Linked DNA regions of Rattus norvegicus. The protein of the gene in region 4 interacts with the protein of the main gene of each other region in a pairwise test. Links are inferred from orthologs where the notes say so. Each region holds a gene or a part of one and is shown on either strand. Other genes may lie near its edges. The genes, in order: Spg21, Zfyve21, Dusp12, Rabac1, Ric8a, Ndrg4 and Syt16.

Region 1 (4,172 bases), on a different chromosome or scaffold from region 4:
CTAATTCATTGGTCCTCCTTCAGGGACCCAACACTGGGCTGCTGCCTTTAAGCATCACTAAACTGAACTTCAAGCACACGGAGGCAGTCTAACATTAAACTCTAACTACAGTACTGATAGGATACCGGTCTCTTAGCTCAAAGCAAAGGAGATGCTTTAAGAGAGCGTTGTTAAAATTGTAAATTGTTTTAAAACATCAAGAAAATCACCACCAATCTTATGCTGAAACCAGTGTGCACAGATGTGATTGTGAACACTAAAACAAAGAACACAATCCTTTATCTATTTTATCTAAAATATTAACATGTTTAAAAATATCTAAGCCATCTAAACTATTTCTCTTAACACATCTTTCACTATTTAAAATTGCTTTATATGATAGCTTCATACATTTATGTAATACATTTTAGTTACTTTAACTCTCCTGTCTCCCTTAAGTTATTACTTTAGAATGAAAGCCACTGCCAGAACATACAGTTAATCCTAGAATATTTTATATTAGGACAGACTTGAAATACCACCACAGCATCTGTACAGTTCCAACTGGAAACATTTTCTAGAATGTCTGCAAGAGGGAATATCAAATACAGGCTAAACAGCTGGGTGTGGGGATACATATCTTTAATCCTAGCCTTCAGAGGCTGACAGCTAGCTCTCTGTGAGTTCAAGGCCATCCTGGTCTACATAGTGAGTCCCAGGTCAGCCAGAGCTATACAGCACACACAAAACACACAAAACTAAAACATCAATCAATTTGTTAAAGTTTACCTCTAGGATCAAACAACTTAAAAATCATTCATAGTTTTGGAATCAGCTGCCACTCAAAACCAAACTACAGTACAAACACACAGGCAGGCAAACAAAGGAGTTACCCACTTCTTTCCCACAGCAGCAGAAGGGTAGTCCTTACCAAGTCTTCAGTATAATTCACAAGCACCTCAGTACTGAACACATTGTAACTAAGCTCCATAGATAAGAGATTCTGCACAGCTGTGAGGACACTTTTGCAAGGACAGGTGGGTCTAACACTTGTGCTAGTTTGGTGCTGAGGAAAGGCGAGACAGTTACCAAATGTTGCGTAGGACCAGCTGATGGCTATGAAGAAAAACATTCCCCCGCCGCAAAGCTAAAGCAGCTGTGAAGGGTATGAAAAGGAAAGTTTGTTCTAGCTCTCTTTCATCCACTTAAGCCGGATGCTTTCCCAAGTCACAAGAGAAACATTCTAAAAAGTCTGTGGCCCAGAAAGTTAGCTGAGATTGAGATCAAACTGGTCAGGATCAAAAAAGAAACATAGGCAGGGAGTTCAGGGCAGATTTGATTTCTCGTGACTCTGTTCTTTACAAAAACAAAAGCACCTGTTCAGGCTAGTGAGGAAAGAGCCTGCAACACCCTTTAATCAAGGAAAACCCTCCACCTAGGCTAAGGACACTCAGTTCTTTCTGGACCTTGTGTTGCTGGACAATAAATTTGCTAGTTGTGAGCATGTACTTGTCCTTCAGAGTTTCAACAGAACCTGCAGTTTATAGTTGAGGAAATTATCTTTACAAATGTTTAACACATGGTCAGTCACATATTGCTGGTCCTCTCAATGTATAGTTGGCTTGTATAGGGACAATCTGTGATTGTTAATACAACCAATAAAAAAGTATTAGAACTTGAGAGTCTCTAGGTGACCCAGCTATGATTCTGTGTTGGAGAATGCTCACCATGAGCTTTTACCACTGACCTACAGCTAAGGCCCTGCAGCAGGCCCTTTACTACAGATCTTCACGCTTCACCACACCTGTATGTATTAAATAGCTATCTTTCGAAGATTTCTCCAGGAACCTATCCACTTCTCTCTAAATGTCAGGAGAGGAGAAGCTGCCTGCATGGCAACTTTCTCTCTGACACCTCGTTTCAAGGTCCTGGTGTAAAAGCTTTTTGAAAATTCATACATCACTATTAGACGACTTCCCGATTTGCAGAATCCTTGCAAAAAAGAGAAGCTGGACCACTGCAGATGGAGACAAAGCAACGTCATCAGCACCTAATTTCTAACTCCCTGGGAAAAGAAGAAAAAAGGGTCATTCGCTCTCCCAGCTACATTCTTCATGACTCACTAACAGGCCTCACACCTAGTCTGAGGTAGGATCTCCAAAACAACTCTACTCGCAGCCCCTTAAAAGTTGACTGAAACCAAGGGGGTGGGGATTTAGCTCAGTGGTAGAGCGCTTGCCTAGAAAGCGCAAGGCCTTGGGTTCAGTCCCCAGCTCCGAAAAAAAGAAAAAAAAACTGAAACCAAAATGTTCCTGAGTTTCTGCCCCGCAGCCGCAGGATAGGTGGCTCAAGAAAATGAGGATGTCTGACTAAGGATTTTGTGCTCCAATCGCTATAGGGGCCGCCCTGGTTCCACTAGTTCAAGCACACCAAACATCTGCAATGAACAGAAGGCTGGACACACAGGCGCACACGCACACACAGAGATATGGATCACGTGCATGGTCACAAGGACCGGCCCACTCGTGAACTCTGCTCATAAGTCACGCATGCTCCATACACGCCCACCTACAACCCTACACAGACCACACACCCACAGTCCTGCTTTCCAGGGCCTGCCCCTCACCTGCCGTGGCCGCTCCCGCGTCCCTTTCTTTCCAGCCTAGACGGCTCTTCGCCCCTATTTGGGCGCAGCGGATGTAGTCGGGGGGGGGGGCGTGGGTGGGACGGGCGGCTGCAGAGCAGAGGCCCCTTGGGAGCAGCGGGCAGAGGGGGCGCGCGGCCGAGCAGCCAGAGGCCGCCGCCTCCCAAGTCTAGAACCGGCAGCTCCCCAGGCGCGCCTCCCGCTTCCGGGTTCCGAGGAGGCGGGACCAGATGGCGAGGAAGGGGCGGGGCTCTGACGGTTACTATGGCGACGGGGATGGCTGGGGAGGCCCGGTGGTTCGGAGACTTCTTGCAGTGTACTAGAGGGCTGCGGAGGCTGTGAATAAGGGTCAGTCCTAGGTCACTTCTGATAGAAGCACCGAGGAGGAAGCCATGGTAGTGAAAGTCGGGGCTGTAGACCATGGGGATCTGCTTCTGCCTTTAGTTTTTAGGCGTCTTTATGCTTTTGGGAGGTGGGAGACACCTTTGGGCCACAGCTTTGGTGAATGGGCCTTGACATAGTCTTTTTTTAAAATTAGTATATATTAGTTCATTACAATGGCTTAATTAGGATATTTTGATACCTATATAAAGCATTTTGATCATTACCCTCTGTTAATCTCTGCCTCCCATTCCCCGTTTCCCCTCAGCTCCCCAACTGCAAATGCTTTCTCAGCAAAATGTTTTTTTGTACAGTCACCCTCCTCTGACCTCCTTCTGAAGCCCTGTTTCCTTTTGTGACTTTGTGCTGATGTTGAGGGGACATGCTCAGCACTGGCTTGCCCTCTTTCATCAGGCATAGTCTAATCACTATTCTTAGGAGAGAGGTGGCAGATGCCACAACACCTTTCAGTAATTGTTAACAGTTTTGCTCTGAAATAACATATAATAATATTAAGTGGCCTGTAAATCTTGTTTGAAAAATTGTAAGCCTCCTAGAGCAAGATGCTAATGTTTTAGGGAGAACTTTAAAAATATATTTTTATCAGTATTACTTTTAATTGTATGTGTTTGTGGGAGTGTATGTGGTGCACATGAGTATAAGGAGGGCAGACAAGGGAAGTGGATCCCCTAGAGCTGGTGTTACAAGCATTTGTGAGCTGCCCAACATGGATGCAAAAGCAGTATGTACTCTTAATCTCTGACCTGAATTTTAATCATCCCCTAGATTTTAATCATCCCCCACCCGTATGTGTGTGTGTGTGTGTCTGTGTGTGTGTCTGTGTCTGTGTGTGTGCATTGGTGCCTGCTGAGGTCAGTTTTGGATCCCCTGGAGTTGAAACTGCAAATGTAATGAGCTGGCTTGCATCCTGAGAACTCAACTTTGGTCCTCTGGAAGAGCAGTAAGTTTGTTAACCACCAAACCATCTCTCCAGTCCTAGAGAACACAAACAAAAACAACAGCGACTCAAAAATCAAAACCACTGATCTATGGATCAGGAGCCTTAGGTTCCAGTCTAGAACTTAAACAAATACCAGACACATTTTGCCCAAAGCATAGTGATGTCTCAGCCCTCAAAAAGGTAGGGCAGAAGGATCTCAAATAGTGA
Region 2 (3,295 bases), on a different chromosome or scaffold from region 4:
TTATATACAAATTACTGTACAGTCATTTTAATAAAGTGAATAGTAAGTCAAGGTAGAAAACACGAAACTCTGATGCCTTCCTTAGAGACACAGCAAAGGGACTGTCCATGGCCCCGGTTAGTGACAGAGTGAACAGAGTCTAGAAACAGGCTAAGGCATTGTGAATGGGCTATTGAGAACGGAAGTGCCCAGTGCTAAACCAGGGCCTGAGTGATCACCACCCAATCTGTTTCTGTGGGAACAGGGCCAAAAATCTCTAAGGAACCTGGAAATGTACAGAAACGTGGTTACACTAAACCTGGTCTAGCAGTGCTGTCCTGCAGCTTCTCCCAACCCTACTGAAGTACCCATGATGCACTGCGACAGAAGCTCTTTAAAGCATTAATCAGCGGTGTACACACTAGGCGAGTGAACACTCTGCTTCCAGACACGTGAACTGCATTTCCAAGTACACACAGGGCAGAACCCCGAGTGCACAGGCAGGGCCAGCTGCGTGGGCTCTGTAACCCGATGTGCCCGAGCTCAGTTCCCGTGTACTTACTGGTCTCGTGATTCATAGAGGAGCTTGGTAGCCTGTGGAACACCATAATAAAGCACGATTGGCCTGTGCACCTTGTAATCAAGTGGGGCACCCCAGATATGTGGCAGTCTTTTGGTAAAAACACACTTGTCTATGAGCTCAGCCTCCCCAGCTCTACCATACCTTGTGCATGGCTGCCAGCCATGCTGCCGCCTGCCTCTTGCTGCCGCTTGCGTCTTCTCCAGCCATCAGCCTCAGCTGTGCTGCAGCCTCTGCCCCTGGCACTGTGTACTGCAGGAACATGCCTGTGGCTCGAGTGCTGCCTGCTGGAGGGGAGAGGAGGTGTCTGCCCTGTGTGCTGCTCAGAAAGCAGCCTTTGTTAGAAACATGCAGAGACCCCGTGTGCAGAGAAGGGAAAGGGATCCCCTCAGCCAGGATAAACTAACAGTACCTATCACCGAGAATAGGATGGTAACATGGTCCTCCTCCCCAACAGTCCAGAAACTGCCAGCCATGCTCCTTCCTACCTCAGAGAAACAGCACACAGGCAGACAGACAGACAGACACACACACACACACACACACACACAAGCTACAGCAGAGCAGTGGAAGCACAGAAACTGCTTTAGGGACGGCCTGGCTACCAGATAAGCCAAGCAGATCGTTACATCCGGTCTGGCTCCGCTGACAGCTAAGCAGATGCTGACACAGGCGTGAAGCCACACTACCCTGCCAAGCACCATTCTTCCCTACTTTGGGCATCCCATGGATGCAGCAAGAGGCCAAGTCAGCTCCATCTCTGGGCTGTGACCAGCTGCTCTTTAATTTAGGGTCTGCTTCAGGAACAAACCACTTGGGAGATCAGGCCTATCAGGGCCACTGCAGCCTCACATGATCATTAACCTCATGGTGACCAGAAGGGAAATGTTTTAGGAAATAACCTACCTTTATTCAGACATTAATTCTAAAATCAAAGCAGTCTGAGCCCCATTGGCCAGTGGACTAAGCATGCAGACCACAGCCAGAAAGAGGCCTGACTTCCTTGCCTGCAAAACCTCTGGCTGGGGCTGGCGGTGGGGGTGGGTTTACCCAGAGAGAGACTTTCTGAACTCAACTCTAATCAGAAACTTCAGAATCCCCCTGAAGGCCTCTGGCTGCACTGCCTCATCCAAGCCATTGCACAATTCCTATCTAAGCCATGCACCACCAGCTTCTGTAAATAAAAACGGGCCGAACGTGGTCATGGCCGCTGTTGGCTGTGGCTGTTTGGGGCTTTTTACCATCAAAATTTTACCACCCCCACGGGAACCAGGGAGATGATTCTGTAGTTAAGAGCACCTACTGCTTTTACGTAGGTTCAGTTCCCAACCTACTCTGGTTCCAGGGCATCTAACGCACTGTTCCGATCGCGGAAGGCACCAGGCATGCGCATGGCACACACACTTGCAGATGCCCTGACCTTTACACTCTCGGGGGCGGGGCTGACCTAGAAGAGGTTGGGGAGCTGGGTCTCTGGCACTAGGGTATCTATGCTCAATGCTCCATGCACCTCGTGCAGCTCCGTGCTGCATTCCTTAGCTGGGCCCCTCTAGAGACTGCGATGGAGGAGCCGACAGTCAGGGACCCCTGGAGGACAGTGTCTGCGGGCGGTAAGCTACTGGGTTCAGTGATGAACGCTGCTGCCCAACCAGCAAAGGAGAACCATACACTTGGCCGACACTGACAGAAGCTGTCACTCCTGCACGCCTTCTCCCTGGGAAAGAGCTGAGCAAGCTTACTTTGTTCTCTCAGGACACTGACTTACTCTGCATAGGCTCTTAGACTGGACCTAGTGTCTCTCCTAATCAAAAGTGACCTGAAGTTTCAGAACTACCCCAAGAGATAGAAGCAGAGGGGAGCAGACACCACAGCATGCTGGGAGGAGTGACCCAGGCAGGATGGAGGCTAACCTTCAGAGGCAGGCAGGCTCCCCAGGAGGCTGCTGTAAGTGTGAATGTCTTTTTCTACTTGAAGAAGGTAGGCAGGCAGTGCAAAGAAGAAACAACCAAGAGTCAGTCAGAAAATGGAAAGCAAGGTGCATTAGGTCAGATCTGCAAGTTTAGAATGTGCGACGCGCAGTTCAGCCGATGAAGTCAGGCTGAGGTAAGACCACTGAGCTCACCACGGAGCTGATCAAGGATCTTGGCTGCACAGACGCCTGCAGGGGAGGCAAACAGCAAGTCTGCAAGCAGGGCTCCAAATCAGCCACCACCACACGCCTCTGGAACTTCAGACCGCGCATTTGGAGCGCTGTCTGTCAGTAAGTAAATACCCAAGTCAGAGGAAATGGACAACAGGCAAATCTCCCCTCGTATCTCCTCTCCACTTACCTGGTGGGTTCTACAGTTACTGACTTAACAAAAGCCCCAATGAAGAGTATGGCGGGCCATCTGGGACCAAATACAGTACCTCCTGTTGCCCACATAGGTACTAGACCCCTCCTGCTCAGGAAAGGCATGTACCTCCAGGAGTGAAGCCTTCTGTGAGAATCTGGACAGTACACACATGTGCAATCTCAATTTCATGATGGCTGTCTCCATCCAGAATCAAGCATCTGTAACAAAAGAAAAGTCCTAAGGCTGAGGCCTAAAGCTACGACAACACTGGCCAGTGCTGGGGGACGTCCACTTACCTCTGGTTGTTGGAAAGACGACAAACCATGGTCTCAGGCTTCTCTGAGTCCCCAAAAGTAACAAGGAAGGTAGCTCCTTGGAAGACAAAACCAAACCACACGTG
Region 3 (4,300 bases), on a different chromosome or scaffold from region 4:
AAAATAACACACGCACGCACGCACGCACGCACGCACGCACGAACACACGCGTGGGACTGGGACTCCAAAGGACTCACTTAGCCTCTGGCTTGATGGTCTGGAGGTTTTCATAGGCTTTTTCAAAGGTAAGCTGTTCGGTCTTCATTATGAAAGCCGTCACTACAGCAACACTGCGGCTGACTCCTGCATGACTGAAAAAGAGACCTTCGAAATAAAATAGCAGATAGCAGCAGTTAAAAAGCAAGCCAGGCTGGGCACGGTGGCACACGCCTCTAATCCCAGCACTCGGGAGGCGGAGGCAGGCAGATCTCTGTGAGTTCAAGGCCAGCCTGGTTTACAGAGTTGAGTCCAGGATGGCCAGGGCTACGCAGAGAAACCCTGTCTCAATCAATCAACCAACAAATAAACTAAAAGACAAAGCCCAGCGACTGTTAGTGGTAACGTTTCGGTCCACCTCACTCCTTTCTGAGTCAGGACGATCTCCCGCCTCAGCCTCCTCGGTGCTGGAATTCCAGGTGCGGCGCCCTGTACCCAGCTCATTCCTATTTCCATTCAAATTAACCCACTGCCCCTTAAATACTGTCAACGCACAACATGAATCGATTATTTCCTTATTCCTTCTTAATTCCGAACAGTGTGGATGCATTAACTATTCTACAATGCCTGCCTTCAATGTTTTAACTGTTGCCATGGCGCCTCGGCTCTTGACTTCAAGTTGTTCCAGATCTGATTCCATACTTCTCATCACTACCTTCTGTCCTTGTGTAAATCTTTACAACTACTGGTACACAGGAAGTGTCCAACGAAGCAGTTCAGACGGACCCCAACAGGACTACCCTGGGATCCCCAAACACCTACTAAGATTTTCCTTCTTTTTTTCCCCCACACCAGTACTTAATAACTTTATTTGCATTGGCTCCTTCCACCTTGTGGAAGAGATGGGTGCAGGCAGCAGTTTGGCCATCGTGCGCCCTCTGGTGGGACTCAGGGGCAATGAACACAGTTGGCCACACAGGGCGTCAATCAATAGTCGAACACAGGGTTGTAGTGATCCTCACTCAGGTCTGTACCCCAGACCCAACTTCAGGTACCTGGGCTTCTTGGGGCGAAGCCCTGCACCTCTGACTCTCATACTCGACTGTGTTGGACACTTGATGTTCTGACGAACCTTGAAGGAGAGGCTAGAAGCACTCTTCTTCAACTCTAAGCACAAAAACCAGAATTAAAGTCAAAGCAGTAAGTAGCACATGCATAGAATACCAGCACTGGGGTTGGGGATTTAGCTCAGTGGTAGAGCGCTTGCCTAGGAAGCGCAAGGCCCTGGGTTCGGTCCCCAGCTCCAAAAACAAAAAACAAAAAACAAAAAAAGAATACCAGCACTGGGGGTGGATGCGGGAGGGTCCCAAGTTCAAGGACTGTCTAGACCGCACAGCAAAACTTCCATCCCAAAAACAAAACAACAAAAATATGGAGAGAAACATCACTCTAACTTTCCTCCACCTTTCCAAGAACCTGCCCCAAAGGCATTTTCTTAAGATCGGGGCTGTGTCATCATAGTAGCAGCATGTTTGCCTAACGTGCTATAAGCAGGACAAATTAATTCTCCGATCGATTTAGTCCGATACATCCTAAGACCACAATTCCAGAAAGGGCTTTGCCTATACACCCGAGGACGATCAATTCAGGACAGGCTGAGTTTCCTGGCTCATTTCCATAGCATTATGTCACACTCCTCTTGTCCAATCCCTTTTCTATACGACTGTCCAGTCTTAATTAGTCCCAGAATGTGAACGAACGGTTTTCCTTTGGTCCGTGCATGCTTCTCTAAACCTGCGAGTCACGTAAATCTTTGATTAAAACTGCCCGAGCATGGTGGCTCACTAAAGGTGTGCAGCACTGTGGACGCAGAGGCAGGAGGATATCTGTGCTTTTTGAAGCCAACCTGCTCGATATAGCGAGTTCCGGGCCTGCCAGATCTGTACAGTTAGACCTTGCCTCAAAAAACAAAAAGCCCCATGTTTTTCTCTTGTTTAGTGAGCTTTAGGACGAGGAAGAAAAGTATCACGTACTTTCACCCCTGTACTCCATTCACCAGAATGATTCTGACTTCTCTTACAAAGCTGCTAAACTTGATGAAATAATTGTAATGGTTAGTGATTAATGAACTAATCTGGTGAACCCCAAACTCCAAAAACACAGATAGGCAGATAGACCGATGGACGGATGGAAGGATGGATGCACAGACAATGGTTGCTGGAAAATGAAATCAAACAAAACCTTAACCAAGGGCGGGTTTACGAACTCTCCCTTGAGCCACAAACCCCAAGGGAAGATGAGGAAAGAGGGTTTGGGCTATGACAGCACCGCCCTCCACTTCTGGGCGCCTCAGCAGAGAGGCTAGACACGGGGTAAGGCACCGCCCCCCAGCCTGGGGCACTCACCAGTGCACCAACACCGCACGGCCTTCGGAGCGAGCCTGGCCGATGAAAGCCACGCACCGATCCAAGTGACTGAGCAGGTCGGTCTCGGGTTTGTCCAGCGCGGGCACGAAGAGGCTCTGGAGACCTTCGAAACCAGCCCCGGCCGGGAAAGCCGGTTCCGAGTCCACCGTCAGCACGGCGGTGATGCCCGCCTCCCTCAGGTAGTCCGGTCCAGCCACTGCCGCCGCCCCACCCAGATACAGCCCGGGCCGCACTTCCACCGCGTGCCCTGCCGAGCTGGCGGGGCTGGTAGTCGGAGCCTGACGCTCGCAGCCATGGTTAGAGCTCTGTACTTCCAACATGGCGGCGCCAGGAAGCCAAGCAGCCTCTGCCCGCCACCAAGTCACCGGCTAGAGTAACCAGCTCCGGTGTCGGACTAACTCCAGCCGCTCGGTAGCGCCATGGGAGGACCACGGCAATAGGGAAAATGACTGATTCTGGGGAAGGTGATGTGAGGCTTGCTGGGACTGTGTGCTAAGTAAGCTCCTTTTAGAGCAGCCTTTCCACCCAAGCCTCTAAAGTCCAAGGCAGAAAATGAAGTCTCCATTCATCCATTACTGGTGGGTTCGCAAACTTGTACAGTCACTATGGAAATCAGCTCGGAAGTTCCTCAGGAGGATGGGAATCTACCTCAAGATAGACACTTGCCCAACCATGTTGTCCATTGATGCTTCCTAATCAGAAATCGGAAACCTAGATGTGTCACAACAGAAGATTGGATAAAGAAAATGTGGTGCGTTTTACACCATAAGGTGTTACTCAACCATTAAAAAAAAGAAGAAGAAGAAGAAGAAGAAGAAGAAGAAGAAGAAGAAGAAGAAGAAGAAGAAGAAGAAGAAGAAGAAGAAGAAGAAATTCACAGGTAAATGGATAAAGCTAGGGGGAAAAAAATCACTCTGAGTGAGGACCCAGAAAGACAAATCTGGTATGTATAAGTTTATATGTGGATATTAGCTGTTAGGTCAATGATAACCAAGCTGCAATATATAGAACCTCAGAGCTTAAGTACAGAGCTTAAGTACAGACCAGGGAGGAAAGATAGATCTCCCTAGGAAAGGTAAATAGAATAATAGATAGTTATGCTGGATTGAGGGGCGGCTAGAACAGAAGGATCCAATGGGAAAGGGAAGAGAAAAGCAGGGACAGACAGCTAAAATTAAGGGGGGGGGCATGAAAACCTAATATGGTAGAGCTTCCTAAAATAAACATATATGAAGGCAATCTAAATGAAATGTCCAAATAATGGGGGAGACAGACTCTCCAACTGGACATCTCTTGTCACCAAATGAAGCTTCCAGTGTCAGGATTGGTCGACATCTAATTGAGTTGTTGGTCAATGGAGTCTCATGGAACCCACCCTCACCCCCACCCCAAACCCACTCAAACTGTTGCCAAGACCTTAGGCTGCTCTCCACCAACTGATGGCAAGACCCCAATCCTGAAGACAACACCTACATAACTCACTAGACATGGAGAAGCTGAACTTCTTCCTTCAGAGAGCCTTCACCCACATATACGAGTGTCTTTGGTGCAGGAAGGTACTCCACACGCTACCAAAGGAGAAATCTGAACACCAGCCCAGCCTCAAACCCTTTGATCTACAATGGTGTCCTGCCTGCAAGATACGCTAGTGCAATGGTGGCAGGAACCAGCCAGTATCTGATCTGATTTAAAACCCACTACACGAGATAGAACCCATACTGAACTTTGCTTGGGTACCAAGAACCATGATCCTAGATCGCTGTACTGGTTTGAATATGCTTAGCCCATGGGAAGTGACACTATTAGGAGCTGTGGCCTTGTTGGAGGAAGTGCGTCAC
Region 4 (4,232 bases):
CCTTTCCCAATTGCCCCAGACACCAAACGTAAAATCCCCTGTATTCAAGGCTCCTGCATTCTCCCAATTAGCTTGCCACTTTCTGCAACATACCTCTGCCTTCTCCGGAAACCCTGCCTCCCACATGGCTGCTCTCCATCTTTGCTGTGTTTGAGGAGCAGAGACTTGAGAGTTATGAAATAGAAAGACTTTTGCGTAGTCCTCAAAAAGAAACTGAAATGATTTCCACAACTGTCAAACCCAGCTGACCTTTGCCACCAAATGGTTCCCAAGGCTGGCCTTGTGGTGTCCCTCATTAGTCTTTAGGCTAACTGTACACTATATGGTCGTCCACTGACCTTCTGAAGCAATGCTGGACCTCAAGTGGGAAACCCAAACACAATTTCCTGCTGAGTGGCCCAGACTGGAACCCCAACTGCTCATGATTGCCCTGTAACACCAGTTCCAGGAGATCTAAAACCTGTTCTGGTGGCGCACACACATAAACATATAAAAGTAAATCTTTTCTTTTAAAATAAAAACACTTATTTTGATATTTAGTATATGAGTACACTGTAGCTGTCTTCAGACACACCAGAAGAGGGCATTGGATCCCATTACAGATGGTTGTGAGCCACCATGTGGTTGCTGGGATTTGAACTCAGGACCTCTGGAAGAGCAGTCAGTGCTTTTAACCACTGAGCCATCTCTCCAGCCCCCGAAACACTTATTTTTAAATAATGTGTATCTGAGTGTGGACATGTACACATGAGTATATCTGATCCGCTAGAGCTGGGGTTACAGGCAGTTGTGAACCACTGGGTGTGGGTGCTGGGAACCAAGCTATGATCCTTTGAAAGAGAAACAAGTAAGCTCTCTCCAGCCCCACTTCCAAAGTAAGTACTTTTCCTTTTTTTTTTTTAAGATTTTTTTTAAAGATTTTTTATTTATTGTATATGAGTACACTGTAGCTTGCTTCAGGCACACCAGAAGAGGGCATCAGATCTCATTACAGATGGCTGTGAGCCACCATGTGGTTGCTGGCATTTGAATTCAGGAAGAGCAATCGGTGCTCTTAACCACTGAGCCATCCCTCCAGCCCCAGTACTTTTCTTTTAAGGAAAGAAAAGGTAAATGAACTCTTTCCCAGGCTTGCCCAAACAGAATCAGCTTTCTGGAGTCAGAACGACAGCTCTGCATGGTCCACGGAAGCATGTAGATCGCCTGTTTTCGCCTGTTTTTGCTATTCCAACTCCTATCAAATCCTCTGTCCTGACAGCCCACCTGCTGTATTCCACTCTGCGCCTCTTGAAACTACAATTCCCACAATGCCTAGTGGCTCCCGAGCTCTTAGCATACATCTCCCAAGATGTCTTGCGAGGCAAACCTGCCTCTTGACGCCACGAGGACTACAACACCCACAATGCTCCGAGGCACAACTACCGCCCCCTAGAGCTCCCAGCGGCGCCACTTCCATTGAGTCCGGCTCGGGTGGGGCCGCCTAGGTGCTGCTGGGCTCGGGGATATTTACAGCGGTTCTATTCACTGCAGCGCAGACATGGCGGCCCAGAAGGACCAGCAGAAGGATGCCGAAGTGGAAGGGCTGAGCGCCACGTGAGCAAGCAGGGTGTTACCCCCAGATCCGAGACGCAGAAGTCCCTGCCCCCGCAAGCATAGATCTCTCCCCTTCAGAGACATCTCAGCCCCTCACCCCCTGGGAGGGACTCAGTTGTGTTACCTTCCTCCTAGGACCCTTCCCCCCCCCAGGGTTCAAGGTCAACCTTGGGACCATGTATGCTAGAATCTGGGGTCCGGTACCCTATTCCTGCCTTCATCTTCTCTGCCCCGTCCTTTAGGACCCTGCTACCCAAGCTGATTCCCTCTGGCGCAGGTCGAGAGTGGCTGGAGCGGCGCCGTGCTACCATCCGGCCCTGGGGCACCTTCGTGGACCAGCAACGTTTCTCGCGACCCCGCAACGTAGGCGAGCTTTGCCAGCGCCTGGTTCGCAACGTGGAGTATTATCAAAGCAACTACGTGTTTGTGTTTCTGGGCCTCATCCTGTACTGCGTGTGAGTGCCTCCGCGGCCCCGCCCTCGATAGTCCGGCCCCGCCCCCGGCTGCCAGGCCCCGCCCAGACCAGTTAGCACCTTTGTCACCACAAGACCTGGTCAGTCTGTACTCTTGCATCCACTTGACCAGGGTGCAGTGTGACCTTCGCTGACCTAGAAGGACGTAACTTCTGTTTGTCCAAAGCTACAGGGACCTGGCTGATGCAGCCTCGGATACCTAACTCCTGTCTCCCACACTCTTCCAGGGTGACATCCCCCATGCTGCTGGTGGCTCTGGCTGTCTTCTTTGGCGCCTGTTACATTCTCTATCTGCGCACGTTGCAGTCTAAGCTTGTGCTCTTTGGTGAGAAATCCCCTGCCCAAATGGCTTCCCAAGCCTTTCTGATCGTGGTCTCACGGAATGCAAACCTCCGAATATTTGGGACTCAAGTCGGCCCCTACCGAGATGCACACTAGAGTCATTTAACCTGGTCCTTAAGGGCTTAGACCTACCAGGTGCTCCCCTCCAGTCTCAGCTTCTCAAACCCAGAGAGACCCCAAAGCCCCTGGCACCTCTGTCTCAGGTAAATGACTTAATCCAGTTCCTCCCAAACCCCGACGTAAAACATCAGCTGCAGATACCCATACTGGACACCAGATGGCGACCTTATGCAGGCTTAGATCCGTGTTCCTTCCCAAACCTTCGGATTCTCAGAGGGGAAAGGCCCCACTGGGAAGAAAGGTGTCAAGGAAGACTCTCTGAGGAGAAATCCAAGGGTTTCCAAGGAGACTTAAAACAAGTCTTTCGGGGGTTGGGGATTTAGCTCAGTGGTAGAGCGCTTGCCTAGGAAGCGCAAGGCCCTGGGTTCAGTCCCCAGCTCCGAAAAAAAAGAACCAAAAAAAAAAAAAAAAAACCAAGTCTTTCGTGACCCAGCAAGTTTAAGTACCAGACAAAGATGGGCTGTGGCAAAGGAATACTGGAACTTGGCTTCTGCAGATAGTGGTCACTAGGGTGCACACGTTTCTCAGGCATAGGAGAGCCTGGCCAGGGGGTGGGGGGGTGGGAGGGGAAGCATATATATTCTATATATATTGAGAGCAGGGAATGCGTCTCGTTCCAATTATGTCGTCTCCCAGGAACTCACTAGGCTGGCCTCCAATTCACAGATTCCCCCCACCTCTGTGTCCAGAGTACTAGGGTTGAAGAAGAGGGCCAGCATGTCCTAGCCTTAAAAAATGTGTGGGCTGGGGATTTAGCTCAGTGGTAGAGCACTTGCCTAGCAAGCACAAGGCCCTGGGTTCGGTCCCCAGCTCCGAAAAAAAGAAAAAAAAATGTGTAATGCAGGAGCCCCTCTGGAAGACAAGTGCTTTTAACTGCTGGGTCACCTTCTCCAACCCTCACAAACCAAATTCTTGTGAAGCTCATCAGAGAACACATCCCCAAAACAGAAGCTGGCCTGTGCCTGGAATTCCAGCACTTGTGAAGCTGAAGCAGGAGAATTGCTCCAAGTTCAAAATAAGCCTGGGCTTCAGAATCTTTAAAAAAAAATAATAATCAGACTAAGTGTCTAGAGAGATGGCCCAGTGGTTAGAATTGAATACTGTTCTTGCAAAGGATGTGGGTTTGGTTCCTAGCGCCCAAGTCAGGTGGGTGCACCATAGCCACCTCCTCGGGCACCTGAACTCTCGTGTACATATGCCCACGCAGGGCATATACACATAGTTCAAAATAATAAATCTTTAAAAAGTAAAAAAAAAAAAAAAAAAAAAAAAAAGGACAAAAATGCTCAGGTCAGATTTGGCTCGGAGCCACCTGGTAACCAGACTGGAACATCAGGCCCTAGACTGAGGTGGCCTGGGGCTCCTGGGGAAGGTGGAGCAGGGGCGGAGCTGAGGAAGGTCGTTATGGGGACAGGTCACTTTGGGGAGGTGGGGTAGGGCCAGGGGTGGGAGGCCCTGATGTGAGGAGTCTGTATTATTACATGGAAGGTTCCAGAGTCACACTAGATGGGTGCAAAGTGGCTCTGGTTACCTCTGGGAACGGCTGGCTGTCTTACACCATCTGTCCCCAGGCCGTGAGGTGAGCCCAGCACATCAGTACGCCCTGGCTGGTGGTGTCTCTTTCCCTTTCTTCTGGCTGGCCGGTGCTGGCTCCGCTGTCTTCTGGGTCCTGGGTGAGTACAGGGTCTGTGTAGGGAGAGGCTG
Region 5 (3,807 bases), about 120 Mb from region 4:
CCTTGGCTTACCCTGGTGTTAACTCAGGCCCCTCTCATACATTCCCTCAAAAATACCCCGTCCTTTAGAATCCCCATCTGCCCAGGCCCCCTCCCCCGGAGCTGAGGACTGAACCCAGGGCCTTGCGCTTGCTAGGCAAGCGCTCTACCACTGAGCTAAATCCCCTCTCTAAGGCACTTCCCACTACTCCACCCAGACTTCTTCCAGTAACGATGCTAAAGCCAACGGCAGGCATTACTCTGGGAAACCCCACTGGGCTCCTGTTTTCCCGTCCTGTATGTGGTTATGACTAAGCACAGGCTGCTTCCTCCCTGACTCCTACTCAGAAAGTTTAGGCTGTTTGCAGGTAGAAGCACCCCATTACTGTCACAGCCCATTTTGACTGCGGCTGACAGTATGTAGCTGACCCAGCAAGATTCCAGGGATTGGGGTCTTGCCTTCTATCCTTGATCTTCAATGAAAGCAGATGTGTAGTGGTCTAGGAAATCTTGAATGTTAAATAGAATGAAATCAGTTTCTATTTAATATTCTTTCACCCGGCTACTTCACAGATATACAGTCTTGTCCCAAACTCTTTATTCTGTGCCTCAGAAATCTCAGATTTTTACCTTGTCTTACAACTTTTGCCTTCATCTAATTACTAAACCAGTGGTTGTCACTGACTTAGTGGTCACAACCAGTGAGGCTTGGGTATGTGGATACTGCAGTGGGTGGCTGAGCCAGGACCAAGAATTTAGAAGAGGCCACTGACCCTGTGCTCAGTGGGGCCAGAAGCAGAAACCATGATGCTTGGTGTGTTTTCTGACATACTTAAACAATTTCAACAGATTCTAGAATGTTTGAAACACAGCATATGCCCCACATACGGGCTCTGGGCTGGTACCAGCCCAGCCATGCTTACACCGTGTGCACCCTGCTCAGCTACCGCCCTCACACATGCACGCTCATTTATGTGCCAAGGCAACTCTGCCCATGGCTGCAGCCACATCCAAGAAACAACTTCACTTGTGGAAATGAAAGGTGGGTTCCCTGTCTTCACAGAGGATAAGACTACCACAGTCCTAAACACAAGAAACTGGACCAAAGGCAGATGACAGATATGTGAGGAGTAGAGAGAACGGCTCCCCAGCTGGAGAGGGGTGTGGCTTCTCGAGGCAGCACCCCAGGCATGTCTGGAAACAGCACCAGTTCTGAAGGGGAGCAAAGTGGCTGCCATCTTCAGTCGGGGTCTGAGTCGGGGTCTGAGGAGAGCTGTCCCTCCATAGTTTCACACATCGCATCTTGCAGAGAAGTGAGGTGACCCCTGGGACTCATCCCCATGGGTTGGATGAGTCTGTGCCTGCAGGGAAAACACAGTGTGGTTGGGGAGGGACCTAGTGTGCAGGGCAGGGGCTCTTGCTCATTTCTTGGCTGCTGCTTGGACTGCGTTAACTATTAACTAGGCCTGGATCCTAACCACCACCTAATTAACTTGGAGACATTAGCCAGTCCTTCACATTCTTGTCCTCATTTTCATCCTCTAAAAAAGAGGGCTCAATGCTGACTGTACCCTCCTCTCTCTTTGCCAGAAGGTTACCTCTGGGGCAAGTTATCTCAAATGCCCAATACAGCCTCACTAGGATCTGAATCTCTAAGCCATTCTCCTTGGGCTCACAAAACAGAATCATTCCCATGTCTTCTAGCTACAAGCCTTCCTCATAACATACCTGGAGAGCTTGTCAAACATGTTCACTAGCTTCATGGCCTCATGTTCCTTCTGCTCCTCTGTCATGCCTTCCATAGGATTAGGCGGCTTCTCCTCTACCCTTCCAGTCACAGGGTTGATGCTAATTCCCAGGAACAGTGTATGAGAAATGGGTTAGTGCTGCTATAGGAAAAGCAGTGCTCAGTGGGGCAGCAAGTCTCCATCTTCATGCCTAGGGCTGGGTTAGCAAGAACCCACCTTCATGGTTTTGGTTTTGGTGGTGATGGGACTTCAGAAGGGAGATCCCCCTTGAACACCAGGCAGACAACTCTTGCCCAAGACCTACTGGATCCCAGAGAGCTCACTCACTGGGCCTCAGTACATGACTTGTCATCAGAACCCAAGTTTTTTTTGTTTTTTGTTTTTTGTTTTTTTTTATTGAGTATTTCTTATATACATTTCGAGTGTTATTCCCTTTCCCGGTTTCCGGGCAAACATCCTCCTCCCCCCTCCCCTACTTTATGGGTGTTCCCCTCCCCATCCTCCCCCCATTGCCACCCTCCCCCCAACAATCTAGTTCACTGGGGGTTCAGTCTTAGCAGGACCCAGGGCTTCCCCTTCCACTGGTGCTCTTACTAGGATATTCACTGCTACCTCTGAGGTCAGAGTCCAGGGTCAGTCCATGTATAGTCTTTAGGTAGTGGCTTAGTCCCTGGAAGCTCTGGTTGCTTGGCATTGTTGTACATATGGGGTCTCGAGCCCCTTTAAGCTTTCCAGTTCTTTCTCTGATTCCTTCAACGGGGGTCCTGTTCTCAGTTCAGTAGAACCCAAGTTTTTATCCATTCCTTATCCTGTCCTACGTACTACTGGCTGTGGTTGAGGAGGGGCAGATAGGGGGATGGGGGTTACGAGGGAACCCAAGTGTACACTAGGAGCACATACCTGGCCTTAGCTTCCCTGTACTCCTCTGTGTCGGTGTCCTCATCCTCTGAGTACTGGCCCTCGGGCCGGCCCCCAGCCATGAGGCCCCTGGCAGCCAGGAGGCCAGCAGCATTCCCGTAGCCTGTGTACTTGATGAATCGGGGCACTGAAGACCAGGGCAGAGGTCAATGTGTGAATATGGCTGTGGCAGGGGAGGCCTGGGGCTTGGGCTCCCCCAACTCACCACTCTCAGAGCATAAGACAAAGAGGAACTCAGCAGCTACTCTCTTCACATCTGTATCCAGGTGTGTCATGAGGCGGACAAGCTTGTTTCGGAGCAGGTCCCCCACCTCAGGCCGAGTCCTCACATCCCTCAGAGGGGGCAGGACCTAGGGAGGCAGCTGTCTCTAAGTGTTGGCTTGGAGCAGCCAGAGCCCTATATAAAGGATCCCCAGGTCCCCCAGATCCGTCTCATTTTTCAAGTACCTGGGCCTTCAGGAACTTCCTGGCAGGACGGTGCATGCGGGCACATTCTGTCAACACGCTCAGCACCGGTGCCACACACTCCTTCAGCCTGTGGGTCTGCAGAAGGGCTTCTGTTACTGTCATATGCTCCCCAGGCGAGATGGGGCTACACTGCACCCTTCACCAGAGGTTCTGACAATCGCTTATAAAGAGGCCATGCTGTAGAAAGTTAGCTAAGGGCCAAAGACAGTGCTGGGCGTTTATTAGTTTAAGAAGGTATGGAAACATTAAGCCAGTCATGGGGGTACCAGCCTGTAACTCCAGCACTTGGGAGACAGGAAAAATCAGAAGTTCAAGTTCACCCTTGCCTGCACGGGGTCTAAGAAGAGAGAGTGATGGAAACCAGACCTACTTCTGGAAGTGACTGAAACTTTGTGACTTGGGGGCCAACAACTTGCTTCTTCAAAACCAACTGTTACAAGTATGAACCAGGGCCAGGAACAAAACAAACGGAATTTGAAGCTGTCCGCACACCTGAGGTACACCCTGCCCTCAGGAAACAACAAATAGCAGATTTCCTATTCAAAGTGCCTCCCGGACAGCAAACAGTGCACCTATCCCTTCTCTGCCTAATGCCAGCAGCTGCAGCAAGAGGAGCAGGCAGCTGATCGAACTCACTAAGCTTAGCAACATGGCTCCTCAGATGGAGTGAATCTCAATCTAGGGCTTTCAGCTGT
Region 6 (2,502 bases), on a different chromosome or scaffold from region 4:
ATTCCAGTACTTGGGAGCCAGAAACAGGGAAATTATGGGGAGTTCCTTGAAAGCCTAGGCTACGGAGTGAGACCATGTCTCAAAGCAACTAAAGACAAGCAAACGAAAAGGGGCGTGCCCTTGCTTTGAAGAGGTCTCACTGGCTAAGCTTTCTGCCCAGCTGTAAAAGAGTTAGTGTCATGATTGATAAAACTATATCTCAGAGTATATAGCCTGTGCCATATACTTGGTAGAACCTTGCCCATTGTGTGTGAACGCCCTGATTCAATCTCTATCACCCCAAAAGGAAAAAAAACAAAAAACAAAGGACCCAGGACGCTGAAGTAGAACTGCTGAGTATTCAAGACCAGCTTTGTCTACAGAATGAGGCTACTCAGCCCTCCCCCACCACAAACGTGCAGACCAGGCACTGACGGTGTAGAGGTACACACAGATGTTTACTATCCTCCACCTGTCTGAATCTAAGGCAACCTCCCCTGTGATAGAAAGCACGGCACACATACGCTTAATTTCTTTATTAGTTTTTCTGCACAGATATCTTTCTATATCAATAAGGATTTTTGTTTTGCATTTTGTAATCTCAAAGTCTCTTATCAGCCACCAGAATACACAAAATTAGGCTCTTAACTTTGTACAGAGAGGGAAGTAATGAACTCCATTAAAAGTTCATCCTGACCAAAGAGAAGACAACCATCAATGGGAAACCACATACAGAAGGACCCGATATACATACATATATATATAATGTATAGGTATTTATAGATATCTTAAGAACACAGCAAAAAGATGTCCAATACTTGAAGTGCTATCTACAGTAAGGGATTAATTCTGCCAGCTTTAAACAGTCACACTCGGTATTCACGGAAGCACGTGAGTGAACAGAACCAGGGATAGGATACACTCCACTGGACTTCAGAGCAGTCTGGAAATGGCTTACAGTTACAGAAAGAAGGGGTGGCATATGCCACAGACACACGGATGTAGGTGTCCTCCTGCCTCAGAACACCCACACAACACCACATACATCACGCCCACCCCATATTCACACTTAAGTGCTCTCTCTCTTCTCTGGGGATGGCTGACACAATAGCTCTGGGCTGTGAGAGTCTACATGGTCAGGTGGCAGACATAGTTGCGGGCTGTAGGAGGTACGGAGCCTTTGTTCATCTGGAGAATAACCCATCTCCCACACAAGGAGCAGGCCATTTCCAGCCCCTTCAGCAAGCAGAGGTCATTGTATCTTTCTGTCTTGTATCTTCCTAATGCTCACTTCTCAAGTAATAATGTCTGTGACACGCCGGCCCAGGTCGACCAGGGCACTGTGACAAACACTCGCTGTTTGAAACCTGGGATAGGAGGGACCTACAGTACCTGCCAGCTCCCAAAGGGGCAACCATGAAGTTCTCAGGGGCTGTACACAGCATACAAAGCCATCAACATTTCACCTCTACCAACGGGGACAAGAGAGACCAGGTGACCTTTGCCTCAGGGTGGGACATGGCCCTGTGGTGGCAGAGTATGGGGTTCCTGCCCCCATGTCAGGGTTCTCCATATTCTGTCTTCAGCCTGGCTAGCCTTCTATCATGTCCTGCCCAGAGAGCACCAGGAAAATGGCTGACTGCTCAGAGCGCTCTCTTGTGGCTACTGTCCTCATGACTGTCACCTCTACTGTTAGGTGTGCTTGGTACAAGGGTTACAGAAAAGGGACGGCTCCCCACTGGTCTGACTCCCACTCACAACAGAGCCTTGGCTCAGCACCTGCCATCTTCAAACTCCCTATCTGCCAGCTCCAGGGGGTGGGCTGTGCTTTCTTTCGTACTATGTCCTACATCCTGGCCACACCCCAGACGGGCAGACGAAGGGGGCCGTATCAACCAGTGGCCGGTGAGATGCGAGTGTATAAGGTGAGCCCTTCACATCCTCTAAGACTGTTGTTCTGCGCCGTCCTAAGGTGGATCCCTTCGTTTTAAGTAAAAGAGAAGTAACCCCATTTCCTCCCCTTCACTCTCACAAAAATAAACCAGAGGGAAGATGAGCCGGTGCGAAGATGGCAGTGGGACCTGGGGGCAGGTAAGCGGGTGTCTTGGGCAGGACGAGGACTTCAGCAGGACACCTCCATGGTGTGGTTGACCTGGCCCATCCCCTCACTGCTGTCTGAGTGGGTGCAGGGCTGAGGGCGGCTACCATCCACAGAACTGGCGCTGGTGAGGGACGCGGTACGAGAGCGCGCAAGGCGGGTCATGCTGGCTGAGGGCACTGTGGACAGAGACAGAGGGTCCTGAGGACAGGCAGGGTGGGGTACCGGCAGGTGGGAAAAAGACAACACAAGCAGAGCGGCCAGTGAGACCCAATCTTGCCACATACAGAGGCCCATCCCAAGCCAGGGTGCTGGCACTGGCTATACTAGGCCAAGGCATGCAGGGTCAGCCAGCAGGATCCTAGGTCCCAGCAGCTACCCAAAGCCATGACCAGAGCAGGGCAGGTGCCCGTTAGGCACCCTGA
Region 7 (4,273 bases), on a different chromosome or scaffold from region 4:
CAAGTGCTATACAGTGATACATGAATTATTCCGTTCAAGAGGAAAATGCAGAAAGCCCAGTTCCTCCTTAGCTGAAATGCAAGTTCCATAGGACAGAGGCCTCAGGGTTACCTTTTTCCTGGCATTCTGCCCAGTACTTAATAGGTGCTTGGTCAGTATTTGTTATTTGTTTACTGAATGAATCAAGGCACCTATGAATCACTAACGAGAAACTTTTAAGGGAAATTAAGCAGTTGTACTAAAGGCTAAGATCAAGAGGCTTGAAGCTTCAGGAATGGAGTGATTCAGAGGGGGGGATGTTGTTATCATAGAAGCAACTGATAGCATTTATCCTTCACTGGGATAGCAATGGGATTACCTATATCCATGTATAGATGTAAATCTGCCCAGGCTTGCGTTTGCACATGAGTGTACAAATATAGGCACAGTCCCTTTGATCATCACCGTGCCCTGCTGTTTTATGGGTGTCCCCAAGCTACTCCTTTCAGACTCTGATCTTACGGTACGTTTGAGAAGACATGCAGGTTACAGAGGGCCAACTTCAGGAGATGGGGACACAGACAAAGGCAGAAGACGCTAAGGAAGCTGCATGATCCATTTGCCATGCACACATATTCAGTACGATTTCTCCCCAAGAATAGACACCATTTCTAGAGATTGCCTAAAACTGTAAAACTCTATTTTTAAGATTTGTTGGAAGCGTTGAAATTCCAGACACATATTTCCTTTGAGAGGATAAACCTTTGTGTCTCAAAACAGAGATGCCTGTTCGTTAGCTCTCTGGGGTCTGCATGTTTGTGCACGAAACCTCCGGTTTTTCTTGCATTTTGAAGTGTCATGCCTAACTGGCTGTTCCCACAGATTCCTTTACTCTTCTCACATTGTTAAACTGGTCTATGGGGAGCGACTTCTTCCAGTCCACATGACTAGAATCTGTTGTTGCAATAGAAGTTGGGCGTGAGTGTGAGGAGGTGTACAATCGTGGGTAGAACCCACATTTAGATGTTCAAGGTCATTTTATTTAGCCATCATGAGAGTTCAGTATAATCTTTCTCTGTCCCCCAAATGCTGCTTGATATTGACTACAGGTATCTGGTGATGGGTCCACAGTGTGACTTTAACAGGTGTGAGCATGTCTCTCCTCTGTTTCAGCTGAGACGTGTTGAGAGTGAAATGGTCACAGCCACTAAGAGACCACCACCCTATCAAACACAGTTGCTCTGTTCCCTGCAAAGACCTACTCCATAGACCTTGGTGCAAGAACCAGCATGCTGCCTGGTTTTACTTACTGCCAACGGTGCTTACGTACTGCACATGTTTTCTTTATGTGTACATTAATAAAGTTTTGCCTGTTATAAAAAAAAACAGAGACCTCCAGTTAAATTTCTCCTTATGCTCATGCTATATTTCACGTACGTTCAGAGTTCTGGAGGAACCAAACAAGCAGACTCTGGAGACACGAGGTAGTTGGTCATGGTGTTGGTCATGGCATCTCAAGATGTCCAGAACTTCTTCCAACCTTTGTCCTCCTGGCTCTCCCGAGTTTATGAAGCTCTCCAGCAAGCCGGGGATGCCTTATCTGCTTCACTGGTTCTTCTTAGCAAACACGATTCGGCACTGAGTGATAAGCCAGAGCAGGACTTAGATGCTATTCAGATTCAGGAAACCTGCTTGGAAGATGGAGAACAGGACAACGATGGGGGTCCAGAGGAGACAGGCTCCCTGTTTCTTGAAGAGGACCATTTCTCAAGCTCTAATAGTGATTTGCGGGACTCTGTCCAGACGGCAAGCCTCAGACTTGGTCAGCAAGCCAAAGACTCAAGCACTGTAATTTCCCAGTGGCCCAATAAGATCCCAGGTGGCCCAAAGCCCCCACATGTGCTTTCTTCTATCGCTGAGGAGGAACATCACTCTGAGGGGCAGAGATGTGACCTTCAGCATGGCTCTGACACCCAGCTTCCCGGCTCTTTAGAAAAAGTTAACGGAAGAAAGCAAGGTAAGCTGGTCAGTACCATTGTTCCTATGCTCCTCTAGATGCCTTGTAGGGTTCCTCTCTGGTTTAAGTATTGATTTTAAGCATTGGTTTTACCCTTTCTTTGCTAATTACACATCCCCTCGTTCTGGCTTCTGATTGAGAGATACAATTCATAGGAATATTTTTGTTCTGTGAAGCTTTACAAGATCCATGTTTTGGGCTCCATCTTTCAAAATAATAGTTCTGAGCAAGTGAAAAAGCTTAAAATGAATCCGAGGGTTCTGTTTGAGAAGTCCCTGCGCGCATGCCACAGTTTTTAAAATATCTTTAAAAATGTTCTCCCCCCCAACCCCCTCCCTCTAGGTTAGGAATTTCTAGATGTTACTATATTATTCAGCATGAAATCCTGTGCAAACAGCCATACTTGTTTCAGAATTTGTAGTTGATAACACTCCAAGAATACTTCTCACAGCGTCTGACTAGGACGGGGTGTGCGATGCCAGTAGATGGGAGATCTTTGAAATAGGACGCTTTCATTTGCTTTTAGCCTGGAATGATAAGGACATAGTTAATAAGAGTCGCCTATGATAGATACTTTGTTGTCAGAACTGAGCACAGAGCAGGGCTTTAATAAAAGTGTCGGGGTTGGGGATTTAGCTCAGTGGTAGAGCGCTTGCCTAGCAAGCGCAAGGCCCTGGGTTTGGTCCCCAGCTCCGAAAAAAAAGAAAAAAAAGTGTCATGGATATAATACAAATGTAATCATTTCTGGGAAAGATACTGGCATGTGTTTCGGCATACATTTCCCATGGCTGCAATCTTCTAGCACGTAGAGTGGTCCCAGAGACAGAGGTGAATGGTAGACTGAGGTGAGGGGTTAGGGGATGTGTGTGTGTGTGTGTGTGTGTGTGTGTGTGTGTGTGTGTGTGTGTGATGTGTGTACTCACATAGTCCATATATAGATTATTCATACACAGACAAAGTCATTAAGTCCTTTCTTGTTGGAGGGAGCCAACATTTCTAGGATACCATACTGTCTCTTTATTTTCAATGATTCTTCCTAGTGTCGCCTTTTAGATAAAGGTCTTACCAGACACATGGGATCTTGGTGGATAAGGAAATAAAATATTTTATTCTTTACAGCACCTTTTCCTCTCTCTGCATGAGCATGACACTGAGCTGGACTTCCTCAATTGCCCGTCATGTTTTTTGAAACAGAGTCTCTCATTGAACCTGGAGCTTCTCTATTTGGCTAGACTAGCTTAATCAGCAAATCCTGTCACTGCCAGTCCCAATACTAGGGTTATAAATGCACACCTAACCCAGCTTTTTACGTGGGTTCTGTGAGCCTAGACTCAGGTCATTATTATGCTTCTATAACAAGCAATTTAAAGGCTAAGTCCTGCAGCACCCCATACAATGCTTTCTTAACTCTTACGGAATGAAATCCTGGAATGAGTTGGTGAAGTCAGGCAGGCTAATATTCTTTTTGAAGCAATAATTTCAAACGACTACTGTTTTGAGTCTTCTAAAATTATTTGTAATATAGTTGGTAGAATTTTAGATTCAAATTGAAATTTCATTCTGATTTTAAAGAATTCTTGCCTAATTTGAACTGTGTTTGAAATTTACATAGATTTGCCTTAGTAGATGTCAGGCAGTGATTTATTGGGGGGGGTTAATTTTCATAACCATAAAATATGAATGCAAACATTACTTGGGCCCAACCTTCAAGTCAGATGACAGAGGCTGTGGTGTTGCTCTCCAGCTGTGCCTGCCATGGTGAGTGCCACCTTAGCGGTGATGTGGTAGGACTTGGCACAAAGAGAAGGAGTTCTTCTGAAGGAGCCTCTCTTAGTATTGTCACAGCGCATTGCTTATACTCCACCGTTGGGAAGACACAGAGTTTAGGTGTTCTGATCTTAGAACACAGTTCTTATTCTGATTACAAACATGATTTCCACAAGATGAAATTACCTTAGCCTTTCTACTACTGTTTTGTTACCGTTTAGAGTTTCTTATAACCACTGCCTCAAAGAAGGTACAGAACAGTTTTATTATCTCAAAGAATTCCTGGACTTCTTTCTGTAGGCAATCCTCACATCTGTCTACCTCCACACTCTAGTGAACACCAGCTGATACGTTTTTATGAATCATTATATATGCATGTATATAGTCCACACACATTAGTAGATTATTCATACCCAGACAAAGTCATTAATTCCTTTCTTGTTGAAGGGACCCCCAACATTTCTAGGATACCATATTGATACCAAAAGATACCAAGTAGAGTACATTGTA

Evidence for each region.
Region 1: the proteins of Rabac1 (region 4) and Spg21 interact in binary tests that used the Homo sapiens proteins (3 or more experiments, as listed by UniProt). The two-hybrid records come from large-scale screens. The link is inferred for Rattus norvegicus from reciprocal best matches to the Homo sapiens genes RABAC1 and SPG21.
Region 2: the proteins of Rabac1 (region 4) and Zfyve21 interact in binary tests that used the Homo sapiens proteins (3 or more experiments, as listed by UniProt). The two-hybrid records come from large-scale screens. The link is inferred for Rattus norvegicus from reciprocal best matches to the Homo sapiens genes RABAC1 and ZFYVE21.
Region 3: the proteins of Rabac1 (region 4) and Dusp12 interact in binary tests that used the Homo sapiens proteins (3 or more experiments, as listed by UniProt). The two-hybrid records come from large-scale screens. The link is inferred for Rattus norvegicus from reciprocal best matches to the Homo sapiens genes RABAC1 and DUSP12.
Region 5: the proteins of Rabac1 (region 4) and Ric8a interact in binary tests that used the Homo sapiens proteins (3 or more experiments, as listed by UniProt). The link is inferred for Rattus norvegicus from reciprocal best matches to the Homo sapiens genes RABAC1 and RIC8A.
Region 6: the proteins of Rabac1 (region 4) and Ndrg4 interact in binary tests that used the Homo sapiens proteins (3 or more experiments, as listed by UniProt). The two-hybrid records come from large-scale screens. The link is inferred for Rattus norvegicus from reciprocal best matches to the Homo sapiens genes RABAC1 and NDRG4.
Region 7: the proteins of Rabac1 (region 4) and Syt16 interact in binary tests that used the Homo sapiens proteins (3 or more experiments, as listed by UniProt). The link is inferred for Rattus norvegicus from reciprocal best matches to the Homo sapiens genes RABAC1 and SYT16.

What each region holds. Positions count from the first base shown.
Region 1 is NC_086026.1:74,874,764-74,878,935, reverse strand, and holds the start of Spg21 (maspardin), read right to left. Parts: upstream 2,801-4,172; 5' UTR 2,606-2,800; intron 2,040-2,605; exon of another isoform or gene 1,938-2,039; intron 1,032-1,937; exon of another isoform or gene 911-1,031; intron 1-910. UniProt on the Homo sapiens protein: May play a role as a negative regulatory factor in CD4-dependent T-cell activation.
Region 2 is NC_086024.1:136,708,446-136,711,740, reverse strand, and holds the end of Zfyve21 (zinc finger FYVE domain-containing protein 21), read right to left. Parts: intron 3,268-3,295; coding exon 3,192-3,267; intron 3,114-3,191; coding exon 3,022-3,113; intron 2,527-3,021; coding exon of another isoform or gene 2,470-2,526; intron 847-2,469; coding exon 704-846; intron 574-703; coding exon 538-573; 3' UTR 501-537; downstream 1-500. UniProt on the Homo sapiens protein: Plays a role in cell adhesion, and thereby in cell motility which requires repeated formation and disassembly of focal adhesions.
Region 3 is NC_086031.1:85,661,208-85,665,507, forward strand, and holds the start of Dusp12 (dual specificity protein phosphatase 12), read right to left. Parts: upstream 2,801-4,300; 5' UTR 2,783-2,800; coding exon 2,442-2,782; intron 192-2,441; coding exon 78-191; intron 1-77. UniProt on the Homo sapiens protein: Dual specificity phosphatase; can dephosphorylate both phosphotyrosine and phosphoserine or phosphothreonine residues. Can dephosphorylate glucokinase (in vitro).
Region 4 is NC_086019.1:89,692,218-89,696,449, reverse strand, and holds the start of Rabac1 (prenylated Rab acceptor protein 1), read left to right. Parts: upstream 1-1,432; 5' UTR 1,433-1,537; coding exon 1,538-1,593; intron 1,594-1,835; coding exon 1,836-2,048; intron 2,049-2,293; coding exon 2,294-2,391; intron 2,392-4,099; coding exon 4,100-4,201; intron 4,202-4,232. UniProt on the Homo sapiens protein: General Rab protein regulator required for vesicle formation from the Golgi complex. May control vesicle docking and fusion by mediating the action of Rab GTPases to the SNARE complexes.
Region 5 is NC_086019.1:205,367,796-205,371,602, reverse strand, and holds the end of Ric8a (synembryn-A), read right to left. Parts: intron 3,188-3,807; coding exon 3,092-3,187; intron 2,995-3,091; coding exon 2,850-2,994; intron 2,772-2,849; coding exon 2,627-2,771; intron 1,827-2,626; coding exon 1,707-1,826; intron 1,340-1,706; coding exon 1,219-1,339; 3' UTR 501-1,218; downstream 1-500.
Region 6 is NC_086037.1:9,356,970-9,359,471, forward strand, and holds the end of Ndrg4 (protein NDRG4 isoform 1 precursor), read right to left. Parts: intron 2,279-2,502; coding exon of another isoform or gene 2,257-2,278; coding exon 2,102-2,256; 3' UTR 501-2,101; downstream 1-500. UniProt on the Homo sapiens protein: Contributes to the maintenance of intracerebral BDNF levels within the normal range, which is necessary for the preservation of spatial learning and the resistance to neuronal cell death caused by ischemic stress.
Region 7 is NC_086024.1:98,616,694-98,620,966, forward strand, and holds the start of Syt16 (synaptotagmin-16), read left to right. Parts: upstream 1-1,473; coding exon 1,474-1,996; intron 1,997-4,273. UniProt on the Homo sapiens protein: May be involved in the trafficking and exocytosis of secretory vesicles in non-neuronal tissues. Is Ca(2+)-independent.